3 linked regions of the Danio rerio genome follow. The protein of the gene in region 2 binds, or shares a complex with, the protein of the main gene of each other region. Links are inferred from orthologs where the notes say so. Each region holds a gene or a part of one and is shown on either strand. Other genes may lie near its edges.

What was found. The genes of interacting proteins can lie anywhere in the genome.
Region 1: the proteins of ncaph2 (region 2) and ncapg2 are in contact, whole or in part, in a cryo-EM structure (PDB 9F5W), measured with the Homo sapiens proteins. The link is inferred for Danio rerio from reciprocal best matches to the Homo sapiens genes NCAPH2 and NCAPG2. Residues at the interface, in NP_689512.2 of Homo sapiens: Pro316, Trp317, Gln318, Ser319, Leu320, Pro322, Phe323, Asp324, Ser325, Leu326, Glu327, Ser328, Lys329, Pro330, Phe331, Lys332, Lys333, Gly334, Arg335, Pro336, Tyr337, Ser338, Val339, Glu344, Gln360, Asp361, Phe362, Gln364, Trp365, Tyr366; in NP_001268861.1 of Homo sapiens: Lys248, Leu251, Gln252, His292, Ile294, His295, Leu296, Pro297, Arg299, Ser300, Val302, Lys340, Ala341, Arg342, Asn343, Ser344, Glu345, Val346, Pro388, Tyr389, Pro390, Arg393, Gly425, Glu426, Ala428, Phe429, Asp430, Thr431, Ser432, Arg437.
Region 3: the proteins of ncaph2 (region 2) and smc2 are in contact, whole or in part, in a cryo-EM structure (PDB 9F5W), measured with the Homo sapiens proteins. The link is inferred for Danio rerio from reciprocal best matches to the Homo sapiens genes NCAPH2 and SMC2. Residues at the interface, in NP_689512.2 of Homo sapiens: Glu46, Phe53, Ile54, Glu55, Leu58, Leu59, Gly62, Ser63, Ala64, Cys65, Val66, Lys69, Tyr73; in NP_001036015.1 of Homo sapiens: Leu93, Thr125, Gln128, Asp129, Cys132, Gly135, Leu136, Asn137, Met173, Tyr174, Lys177, Lys178.

What each region holds. Positions count from the first base shown.
Region 1 is NC_133182.1:40,558,058-40,561,704, reverse strand, and holds part of ncapg2 (condensin-2 complex subunit G2), read right to left. Parts: intron 3,566-3,647; coding exon 3,392-3,565; intron 3,258-3,391; coding exon 3,187-3,257; intron 2,783-3,186; coding exon 2,629-2,782; intron 560-2,628; coding exon 383-559; intron 1-382. UniProt on the Homo sapiens protein: Regulatory subunit of the condensin-2 complex, a complex which establishes mitotic chromosome architecture and is involved in physical rigidity of the chromatid axis.
Region 2 is NC_133179.1:19,032,126-19,036,442, reverse strand, and holds the start of ncaph2 (condensin-2 complex subunit H2), read right to left. Parts: upstream 2,924-4,317; 5' UTR 2,831-2,923; intron 1,971-2,830; 5' UTR 1,949-1,970; coding exon 1,841-1,948; intron 1,751-1,840; coding exon 1,649-1,750; intron 1,279-1,648; coding exon 1,217-1,278; intron 1,103-1,216; coding exon 1,027-1,102; intron 954-1,026; coding exon 888-953; intron 339-887; coding exon 259-338; intron 1-258. UniProt on the Homo sapiens protein: Regulatory subunit of the condensin-2 complex, a complex that seems to provide chromosomes with an additional level of organization and rigidity and in establishing mitotic chromosome architecture.
Region 3 is NC_133176.1:21,044,369-21,048,015, reverse strand, and holds part of smc2 (structural maintenance of chromosomes protein 2), read right to left. Parts: intron 3,509-3,647; coding exon 3,275-3,508; intron 410-3,274; coding exon 260-409; intron 1-259. UniProt on the Homo sapiens protein: Central component of the condensin complex, a complex required for conversion of interphase chromatin into mitotic-like condense chromosomes.

The DNA.
Region 1 (3,647 bases), on a different chromosome or scaffold from region 2:
TTTTCATTTTTGTTTAAAAAAAAAAATGAAAACTTTTTAAGACCCTACAAAAACCCTGAAAAAAACATAATTTTTTTCAAAGATAGAGGCTGAAAAACATGTAATATAATATTTGAAGTCTGACCTTGGTAAACAAAACATCCTTGAATATAACAATTCTGTGAGCTTTCAGAGATATAAGTAGATAATAAGGACAAAAACATCACGACATTTAGCCATGATTCAGCTCTGTGCAGCACTATTTTCAAAGCAAGGCCACAGAAAACCTGCAATTACCTTATTGACTTTGTATCTAATGACAGTAATAACACGACACACAATAAAAGAGTAGGCTTTCACCAATTCTCTCTAATAATATTCTCAACCTTCAAGTTTGCTGTACCTTCCATTTGTTGAGGGCTTTATGAAGTGGTCTCATCTGATCCAGGGGCAGTGTGAGCAGACATTCTCGTGTTTTAGGTCTCAAGAGCATGTAATCCAGATAGTCTAGGCCTAGATCTGGCTTTGACTCCTCCAGGACATCAAAATGCACTTTGCCAGTTGATTCTTCATCACCCTGCTAATGAAAGAATGAAGACACTATAATGAAAAGCTAGGTTCTGAAACTTGGTGCCATACCAATGTAACAAGTAAGTATTTGGATCAAATTAAAATGCAGATTTTGATGCATGTGATGTATGATTTTAATAATTAAAAATAACTTTAATAACTAAATTAAACAACTTTAATAATTAAAAATAATTTTTAATCCATCATAATTTGTGAAAAAGCACAGACACAGCAAGTTAAGGAATGATTATTCTTATTACAAGCTACAGACTAGTATATGATTAGTTATTGAGACTGCAATGTCAAGCTTATAACTGTTCTGTCTAACTGTAATATTTCTAGAGACATCACTGGGCCCACATGGAATCTGTGCATGCAGAAATCCGCAGATTTTAAGCCAATCGATTCTATTTATTTACTTATGTAAATGTATATTTATTTAGTTGTTAAATTATTTTCAGTAATAGTATTGACTAATATGAAAATGTTCATATGAGTTATTCACAATACAGTTTTTAAAATAATGCTTACTGTCTTTTAGTAGATAAATTATATGAGAGACTTGCTTTGTTAACCAAATAAGTGGATCTAATTTGATTTGCATTCTAAACACTAAATAAATGTTAAAAAGTTTTTTTTTATATTTCATATAATACATTTTTGTTACGATACTCCCAAAATCATTCTGCTCAAATCCACAGATTTTTTTTTTTTTTTACAATATTCAGCGCAGAAATAGTGAAAAAATGTCTGCAGATTCTGTCTGGCCCTAAACATCACTTATTGTGTATTCTAGGGCTGCACAATATTGAAATAAATCTGGCATTGAGATGTTTTTTATTCTGCAATATATATCGTGATGTGAATACAATTTCACCAGATGAGTTGAATACCTATTTGGACAGAATTTATATTTTTAGATTTAACAATCTACAAGCAAAGAAAAATTCTATAAAGAAAAAATATACAAATTAAATAAACAGCATTTTGCTGTTTTCCAAGGAGTCAAACTGTATTCAGATATAGTAATTGAATAATCAAAGGTAAAAAAAATATTATCTCATAGTCTTCATTTTAGAAACAATTCAATAAAATTAATTATTATTAATTCGTCAAAGTTACAAACGGTACAATTTCTTATGCCGGAATGCTTTTACAATCCTCACACAGTCACATAATCCAGACTCAACTTTGCATATACTCACAATGTACCTATTGTGAATGATCACAAAGCGTTTTAATGCACAAAGTTTTTAATGGTCTAACGATGACATATCAGAACATGAAGTAAGACGGCAGGCAGAGGTGTTGTATTTTGCCAAATAAAGTCATGTTTCTGCATAAGTAGTTTTGCTGTGAATAGTGCTCTTATTTACTGTTCAATTATTGTAGATGGCCAAGATGGCTATGATTTATTGTTTAGTAAATTTGCTTTGCATTTACTTATGTCTTTACGTTGTCTAAAACTTTCAATATATTTTTCAATTTCAATAATACAATTTAAAATGTCAATTTAGGTAGCTGTTTAGGTAGCTGAGCAAAACCTGTTTAAGTTTATTTCTTCTGTTTGATTTTTTTTCTTCTGAGGATTTTTTAAGGAATGCTGGTTGCTAGTATCCATTGAACTCTACAGTAAAAAATCTAATATAAAAGTCGGGTCTCAGCAACCAGCACTCTTCAAAATATCTTCTGTGTTCAACAGATGAGGGAAAGTCAAACATGTTCAAAGGTGCAGTATGTGATTGTCTTCAGAAACATTTTTTGTTGTGCTAGTTGAAAGAGTGACAGCGGTAAAAACAAATGCTGAATCAAAACTTTTTAAAATCCTGAATTAGTATTGGATTTACTCTTGCATGCTGGAGAAAGGATGACACCATGGCATGGCTTTGGACGGCAGGGGATGGACTGTATTTCAATGATTGTATGGCAAACTGATAGCATTTAGGCAGATCACCTACTGTACCTTTAAAATAATGGGGAGGATTATATTTTTTAATTGAACTATCCCTTTAAAAACACAAAAACAATACCCAGCCTTAATAATGACCCCCACACATAGACACTTTCCAGCACATGTACCTCTTTCACAGGTGCGGCCTCAGTGAGCCAGTTCTCGATAAGCTCCACTATATGGCTGATCTGCCCCCAGCTACAGAGACATTCCAACGTCTGACTGTACGTTGTCACAGCAGCACCCGCTTTCAAGCTCCTCAAGTGAGACATCACTTTACTCCTGCAGAGAAGGACACAGTCATGCTGTACACCCAGACTTTTCTACAGATCGCTCTAATTCTTTGAAAAAACACGCTCAATCCCACCAGCATTAAAAGGATGCTTTTGGGATCAAATGGAAATCAGAATTGGCAATTCGCTTTTGAGCCAACCTGCTGTTCTGGGGAGACGACTGACTGAAGCACGTGGACTGTGCTAGATAATCATCAGAAAAACATATATTTAGAAGTGCTGTTCTTTTTAAAACTGTCCTTTGCTGGTACACTTGTTCATATTTTTTACTATTTAGACAATTCACCTTATGTCAAGAAAGAGTGTTTTCATTGTTGGCTGCATTATTCTTCTAAAATGGGGCATTTAGGGATTTTTTTAAGGGAAGTCCTATAGTGTAATAAGTGTACTAACCTCAGAGCTGGAAGAGCAGAGGCAGGAAGTAAAGATGCTAGAAGAATGAGAGGTGCTTTGCATCGCTCCTCCTGCGCACATGCACACACACACACAAATGCGTCATGTTGCACCCATGTTGCATCAGCTTTGAAGATGTGATTATAGTGTGCCATTTTGATCTTAAAATTGTCCTTTGGTTTCATCGCTTGAACGTGCCTCTTACCTGAAAGATTTTAAGGTACTGGGGCAGAGAAGATCCAAACTTTGCAGTGGTGTACTTAAAGGCCTCTTGATTAGCCATTAGAGATTTCTGAACACTCTTCCACAGAATGACAAGGATCTCCAGCAGGCTGGCCATGGAGGAGGTGTCCTGAACTGAGAGAACATCTTCCAGCAGCTAGTGTCAATAATAGCAAACATAGGCATTTTTATTTATATATATATAAATATGTATTGTTTACAATTTTACATCATTGCTC
Region 2 (4,317 bases):
ACTGTCCTATCCTAACAGACTATACATCAGAAGCTTATTTATTCTGCTTTCATGTGATCTCAAATTGACACTTATCACTGTTTTTTCTGTCCAGCGTCACACATTCATTATTCTCCTTTTTGGTCTGGACTAAAGAACCCTGACAACTAATCTACAGGTGTGAACCCAATGGAAGATTCTTTACATTCTCCTATTTGCTGTTTTACAGTGTAAATGTATGCATCATTTTCATTTGTCTCTACATGACAGTGACTTTACCTTAGAAGGGGGTATTTTTGCTTCTCGTGTGATTCAGCAGGAATGAGAGATTCAGGAGGAAGACGGATAATTCTCACTGGCTAAAAACAAATGAGTGAAAAAGAATTAGTACCACAAAAACAAATATATCAAAACTTTCCTGAATTCTTATAAAAGGTTTTCGCAAAACAACCATTTGCTGTGCAGAGAATACTAAACAATTGCTGGTATTGCTTTATATCAAGAGCATATAATCACTAGTAAAAAGAATACTATGTCCAGTCAAAATTCACTCATACTAGGCAGACTTGGTTTGATTATAACAAACTCGGTTTTGATTGTTTGTTAGTGCAGTTTATTTGAATAAATGTGAATATTGCCATCTGAACTTTGAGGTTTGCAACAACATTATATTGTTTAATTCTTTTACAAAATAGAAATTATAAAAACATTTTCAGTCTGAATCCTAAAGGACAGCATACATCCTAAACCAACCAAGACTACAAAAAAAAAATTCACATATTACATTTTCTTTATCTTTTTCCCCCAAAACAAATCAACCAAATAAACCAAACTACAAGCATGAACAGATTCAGACAAAGCTTCTGGACACAAACACAGGTTCTAGAAAGCAATATAACCATGCTTACCTCTGTTGGATCTTTCATTGTAATATTGTGAGTGTTGACATTCTCATCCTGCTCAATCTCATCAAACTGCACAAAAACACACAATTACTCACAATATAACCACATATTTAAAGTTATCAAATGTTGATCATTTACACACCTCACAACCATCGCCTTCGCTTCCCGAAGGAGCTTGTTCTTGGTTTCCATCTGATGAAGAACCTTGTTTATCACGTCTGTTAGGAAAAAACAAGCAACATTACACATAAAGAATAAACAGAAACTGGAGGTCAATTATTATTATTATTATTATTATTATTATTATTATCTTTTTTTTTTCAATCACCTACTTTTTGTTTTTATTAGAGATGTAGTCCAATGTTTGGAACACCAGAGTGTGAAGGAGCTCCACCTAAATGTTCACAGCAAATTTCACCATTAATCTTGGGACAGATTTATTTAAGTTTTACAAACAATTTTAAAATCACATTTGATTATGAAACACATTGACTGCATACATAAACAAAAACACTTAAAATTGCAATACTGTATTTTGTGTTATTTTATTATTTATTTTATTGAACCTACAGAAAAATAAATAAATTAAATAAAAATAAATGAATTACACGTGTTAACATGTTGCATTTGTTTAGAAATGTGATTCTGAAACATATTGAGGATTAAAATGTGCAAAATGAAATGGTTCCCTGTTAATAACATGATCACAATTGGAAAATGTGAAATTCTAGTACATTTCTCTTTTGATTGATCAAACATTGTACCTTTCTGCCATAGATGCATGTTGATCCTTGAATCAAAAGTGCAGCCTCTGCAAAGTTCATCATGGTCTTTCCACCATCAAATGAAATAGTCATCTGGTCCAGCTGTCAACAACAAAAACAACAGCAATAATATGAAAATCTGCACATTCAAAACATTAAGGTAATTCTCAATCAGACTGTATGTTTTCTCACCTCCTCGAGATATTCTCCAAGCTGGCTGGCCAAGTCTATGTCCCAGTTCTTGGTGAGGTCCCGCAAGGGTTGCAGTAAATGGGCATATCTTGTCTCCACAGAGTCCATGACCAAGTACTTTCAAAATACGCTGAAATACACATTTTTTACCAGACATTTTCAATTAAAGTATATAAAACTTAATCATAAGTGACTAACATCTAACAAAATGTGTGATTTTAGACTGCTGTAATAATACAAGTTTTATTATAGTAAAAATGTAATAACCATGGTACTTTTGGAATTTGGCTTATCATTTGTATAACCATAATTTTGCTGCAAGTACCATGGTTTAATTATGATTAGAAAAAAGCATTGTGGATTTACAATAATCAAATTTTAATTACAACTGTATGTATTTGCTTTATAAGTAGTAAAGTATGATTAAAAGCATGGTTTGCCAAAAAAATGAACAAGTATTCATGTATACAAACCTTGATGATTTTCTTTCTTTTGCTGAACACAAATGAAGATTTTGAACGCTGAAACCCTGTAACCATTGACTTCCAGAGTAGGAAACACAAATACTGTAAAAGTCAATTGACGTTTAATAGTTGTTAATATTTACAGGTTTCCAGCTTTCTTTAAAACGTCTTCTTTTGTGTTTAACAGAAGAAAGAAACTCAACGAGTTTGGAACACGTGAAGAGAGAGCAAATAATGACATATTTTAAATCTGTTTACATCGAAAGAACCCATGTCGATTTACTGAATCACAGTAAGTGTAACGTTAAACACTAACGTTAAATGCTAACTGTCTTATAAACACATGCGCACGCATAATAAAGCGATCTGTATTATGTGAACATAAAAATACGCATTTCAAGATAACAATTCAGAATCTGTGTTAAACTATAAGCTATACTGAATTCCAGTATTTTACACATTAGTAAGAGTGAAATGTAACATAACTGAAGATCCAGCAAGGCGATAATAATATCAATATGCTCACCTTTAACAAGCGGACAAGCAATGGCTCTTGGCTAGAAATGATCTTCTGTGTGCGTACTTCGAAAAATATAGAGTTTATACTATAAAATTAGGCAAAGTATCAAAATCTAAATTTAAGGGAAATACCGCGGGTACGTCATTTTTGTTTTTGCCGCGTGCGTGACGTCAGACAAGACTTCTGCAAAACTGCCGCCCCCTATTGATTTGGAGGTGTATCGTCTGTGTCCACTATAACTTACAGGCCATTTTTAACTAATGATAAAAAACGTATTATATATTACGTTTATCTTACATCAAAGACATTTTTTGTACAACTATGAGCAGACAATTTAATGAAAGTGTAGCTTAAATATGTATAAAAAAGTCTTATTGGCTAGTGTAAGTATCTGCAGTGACCAGAAGAGGTAGCTATAACACAGCCAGATATAATTCGTTTTGTTTGTTATAAGATTAACTCCAGAGAAAATGAACAATTATAGTAAATCAATTTGATTGCATAGAACCTCTTTATAAAAGAATAGAAGCTTTTTTTTCAAACCAAATCAGTACTTTAGACCACATCAACCATTTCCTGTTGATTAACTATTACATTTTTATATAGGTTTGAGTTATTTATTTATTACTTTTTCATTCATTTTTTTTTAGCTTAGTCCCTTTATTAATCTGGGGTCGCCACAGCGGAATGAACCGCCAACTTATCCAGCAAGTTTTTACACAGGGGATGCCCTTCCAGCCGCAACCCATCTCTGGGAAACATATACACCCATTCGCACTCAGGCACTACGAACAATTTAGCCTACCCAATTCACCTGTACCGCAAGTTTTAGGACTTGATGGGGAAACTGAAGCACCCGGAGGGAATCCACGCAAACGCCAGGAGAACATGCAAACTCCACACAGAAATGTCAACTGACCCAGTTGAGGCTCGAACCAGCGACCTTCTTGCTGTGAGGCGACAGCTCTACCTAATGCACCACTGCATCGCCTTATTTATGACTTCATTTATATTATTTATTTTTATTCAATTTCAATAATATAATTAAATAATTATAATATCAATAGTAATAGTGGTATAATATTAATTAATTTTTAATAAAATCCTTTAATTTTAAGTTGAAAAACTGCATCTACATACATATACAGTCTATAATTAAATAATACACATACATACATACATACATACATACAGGTTAAGTCAGAATTAATAACGCCCCTGTTTATTTTTTCCCCCCATTTCTATTTAATGGATATAAAAAAAATTCCAACACATTTCTGAACATAACAGTTTTAATAACTCATTTCTAATGACTGATTTCTTTTATCTTTGTCATGATGACAGTAAATAATATTTGACTAGATTTTTCTCAAGGCACTTCTATACAGCTTAAAGTGACATTTAAAGGCTTAACTAGGTTAATTAGGTTAACTAGGCAGGTTAGGGTAATAAGGCAAGTTATTGTATAACGATGGTTTGTTCTGTAGTCTATC
Region 3 (3,647 bases), on a different chromosome or scaffold from region 2:
AGAGAGTGAAGTAGTAAAAATATATATTGCAACTGAAATCTACAGACACAAACAGACACAATGCGCGAGACGACAAACAAGAATTGTATGCATCTTCAATATATCTCTTTTGGGTTCAACAGATTAAATAAAACTCAAATATTTGGAACCACTTGAGTAAATTTCCATTTTTGGGTGAACTACCTTTAAGTCAAAGAGTGGAAAACCAAAAAGCAAATACAAAAGCCTAATTTGAATAAAGGACAGCATCATCTCATACCTCCTCCATGTTTTTGACCAGCTCTTTCCTCTTCTTGGTCTCATCTTTCAGGTTTTGCTTCTTCAGATCCAGGGCACTTTGGGCCTTGGTGTCCACTCTCTGTGCTTCAGACAAGGTCTCTTCCAGCGTCCTCAATACCCCCCCAACCTCCTGGAGAGAAAGAGAGACAGACACAGAAATGAGACGAGCTAATGGAGTACAACAGGAGACAGAAATATTCAATCAATCAACCGCACACTTTTCTAACAGGTATCAATTTGCATCATTAAAAATTCACAAATCTTTTCCCGTACAATGATTTTAATACTTTTGCCAGTCCATTACCCACCATCCCATCCCATATTACAGACCTCCAGTCTCCACAAAAGTACTCGATTACCAAACCTGTTCAAGTAAAAGAAACCCAAACTATTTAAATTCGAGGTCACCCCACCGCAGACTGCGGTCCAGATTTGGACCTTGGATGAGTTTAATCAGAACCACAAATCATTTTGAATAAATTAAAGACAGTTTTCCTCTCTGCATAGAACATTTTGACAGTTGACACAACTAAAGCTACACAACAGATGCAGCCGCAATAACTTACAACACAAAATTTCAAGATGAAAAAATTATACATGCAAAAAAATAACCATGATAACAATTACTATTTCTAATTAATAAACGTTTTATATAATCTGAGTTAATTATACAATACATATTGCTAGATTAAAGGAAACATTATCACATTTTTTAAATCACTGCATTTCAGATAACTTATGATTAAAATAGTAAGTGTAGTCATATATTGTTTACATGTTTGAATGGTACAGTTGTGAATACACTTATATTCAGAACTATAATGTATTGCATTTTTTATTTAATGCCATGTCAGTGACCAAGGCTATTTTCATGGGAGGAACATTTCAATAAATATACAATTAAAAATCAATAAGGAACACATCAATTAAATAAGTTTTTTAGTGTTATTACATAATAAAAATATTAAAATCTTTTTTGTTGTCACTTTGCTAAAAATGTCCTTATGAGAGTTCAATTCATTTAAAAGTCTTCTGGAATCAGTAAAAGCAGGACAGTCCAGAAAAATGTGTTTTAAGGGGAGTCGTGCAGCACAAACACCGAGTAGGGATTTCACATTGGAGCAAAAAACATGGGTTATTCTTGTATTGTGTCTGGTAAAAATCACCTGATCAAATCTAGTCTTAAAATCTCTTAACAATCTGTGAGATTTCAGGTTGGATTTCATGTAATGTATTATTTTCTAATGCATCCCGTCTTCTTGCCACTTGTTTAAAATGTAAACATTGATAAAAGGTCTCATCTCTGATGGAGGAATTTGACATTTGTTCACCACTTGTTTCAATTCAGTACTATAAGATGAATTGTGAATACACTTTGATTTAGCAGTTTGTAAGGTCTTTTAAGGTTGCGTATCTAAAAAAATAATACCATAAAAGCAGCACTGTGAAATACAGGTTTTAAAAAGATGTTTATTCTTGTTATAGCAAAGCTGAATTCATGAGTTGAGTTCAATGTCATGTGATCTTCGGAAATCATTATAAAATGCTCAATTGATTGGCTTAATATTATCAAAGCTGACAACAGTTATGCCATTTTTAAGTAAAAACTGTGATATACTGTTTATAAAGAGAAAGTTGAAAAGCACAACATTTACAGTTGAAGTCAGAATTGTTAAACCCCCTAAATTATTAGCCTCCCTGTCTATATTTTCCCCCAATTTCTGTTTAATGGAGAAGATTTTTTTCCAAACATTTCCAAACATAAAAGTTTTGATAACTCATTACTAATAACAGATTTATTTTTTCTTTGCCATAATGACAGCAAATAATATTTGACTAGATATTTTTCAAGACACTTTTATACAGCTTAAAGTGACATTTAAAGGCTTAACTATGGTAATTAGGCAGGTTTGGGTAATAAGGCAAGTTATTGTATAACGATTGTGTATCGAAAAAATATATAGCTCAACAGGGCTATTAATTTTGACCTTAAAATGGTTTCTAAAAAAATAAAAACTCCTTTTATTCTAGCCGAAATCAAACAATATAAAAAAATCTAAATTTCATTGCTCTGTTAAACATTATTTAGAAAATATTTTAAAAAGAAAAAAATTATAATTCTGACTTCAACTGTATTTTACACAGAATTTTTCTGTGTAACAGTATAAATGAGTTTAATGCACTGGTGCGGATTGAAATATTTAACTAAACCTTTTTTTTAATAGTAGGTAGCATATCTGTTCTTAAGAAAGACATGTTTTGAAAAAAACTTATTAGAAATTTGAAAGAAAAAAAAAACAACAGCAACAAAAGTGGTGTTCTTTTATAAATTATCTTAAAACTATGTATAAACACAAGGACAATTTGTATTCTTACTGATCTGATACTGTTCTCTGTTTCTCTGTACTCCTTTTCTCTTACATGCACTATGTTTGCATATTTGTGATGGTAAAATATATTGTGATGTAAATATCATTACACAATATGTAAATAGAATATTTTACAGAAAAAAAATATTTGCATTTGAACTTTGGAAAAAAAAAATATTTGCATTTTTTTAAATCGAATAATTAATAATAATTAAAAGTCTCAGTAGATTATAAGAGGCGGAAATTAGCTTAGCAAATAAAATCTGATAGCAATTTAAATGAATCACTGAAACAACATCCAGGTGGCATCATCAGTGGTGCACACTGGTGGTGGATGAGGAGATTCCCTCAATGTGTAAAATGCTTTAAGTGTCCAGAAAAGTGCTATATACAAGTAAGGAATTATTATAATTTACATTTTTTATTTATTTAGCCAAAAACGGAGCAATCTGCTCAGTTTTTATAATAAGTAATCCATAAGTGAGCCCTTGTTCTCCTTGGGCCTGCCCCCCACTACTCTGATGGACTTTGTTAGACAGGAATTGCCCCCTTAATGAATATTCCCAATGAATGCACTATTAATTCCTGCCCTTGTTTTTAGATCTGGCTGTTTGTTCTCCACTCACCTTGTCTCTCCTGCGCTCCAGCTCCTGTATCTCTGCACTGAGCTCCTTCACTTTGGCCTCATTCTGTTTCATGTTCTCCTGCAGCTTTGCGATGGAGCTCTGCATCTCTTGCAGTTCTTCATTAGACTTCAGCTTGGTTTCCTCGGCACACACAAACAGGTACGCCACGTACAGCCGACTCAGGTGTTCAATCTCTCGCATGAGCTTCTGGTACTCCAGATAGGATGCACGTTCCTGAGAAGAAGCAAATGAGAGCAATACACTTTACTACATTTTTTAAGGTAACTGGTTGCAAAACTTTTATATACGGTCTGATTTTAAACAAACCAATTAAGTTAAACATTACTAAATTTAATTTGTTTAAATTCAGCCC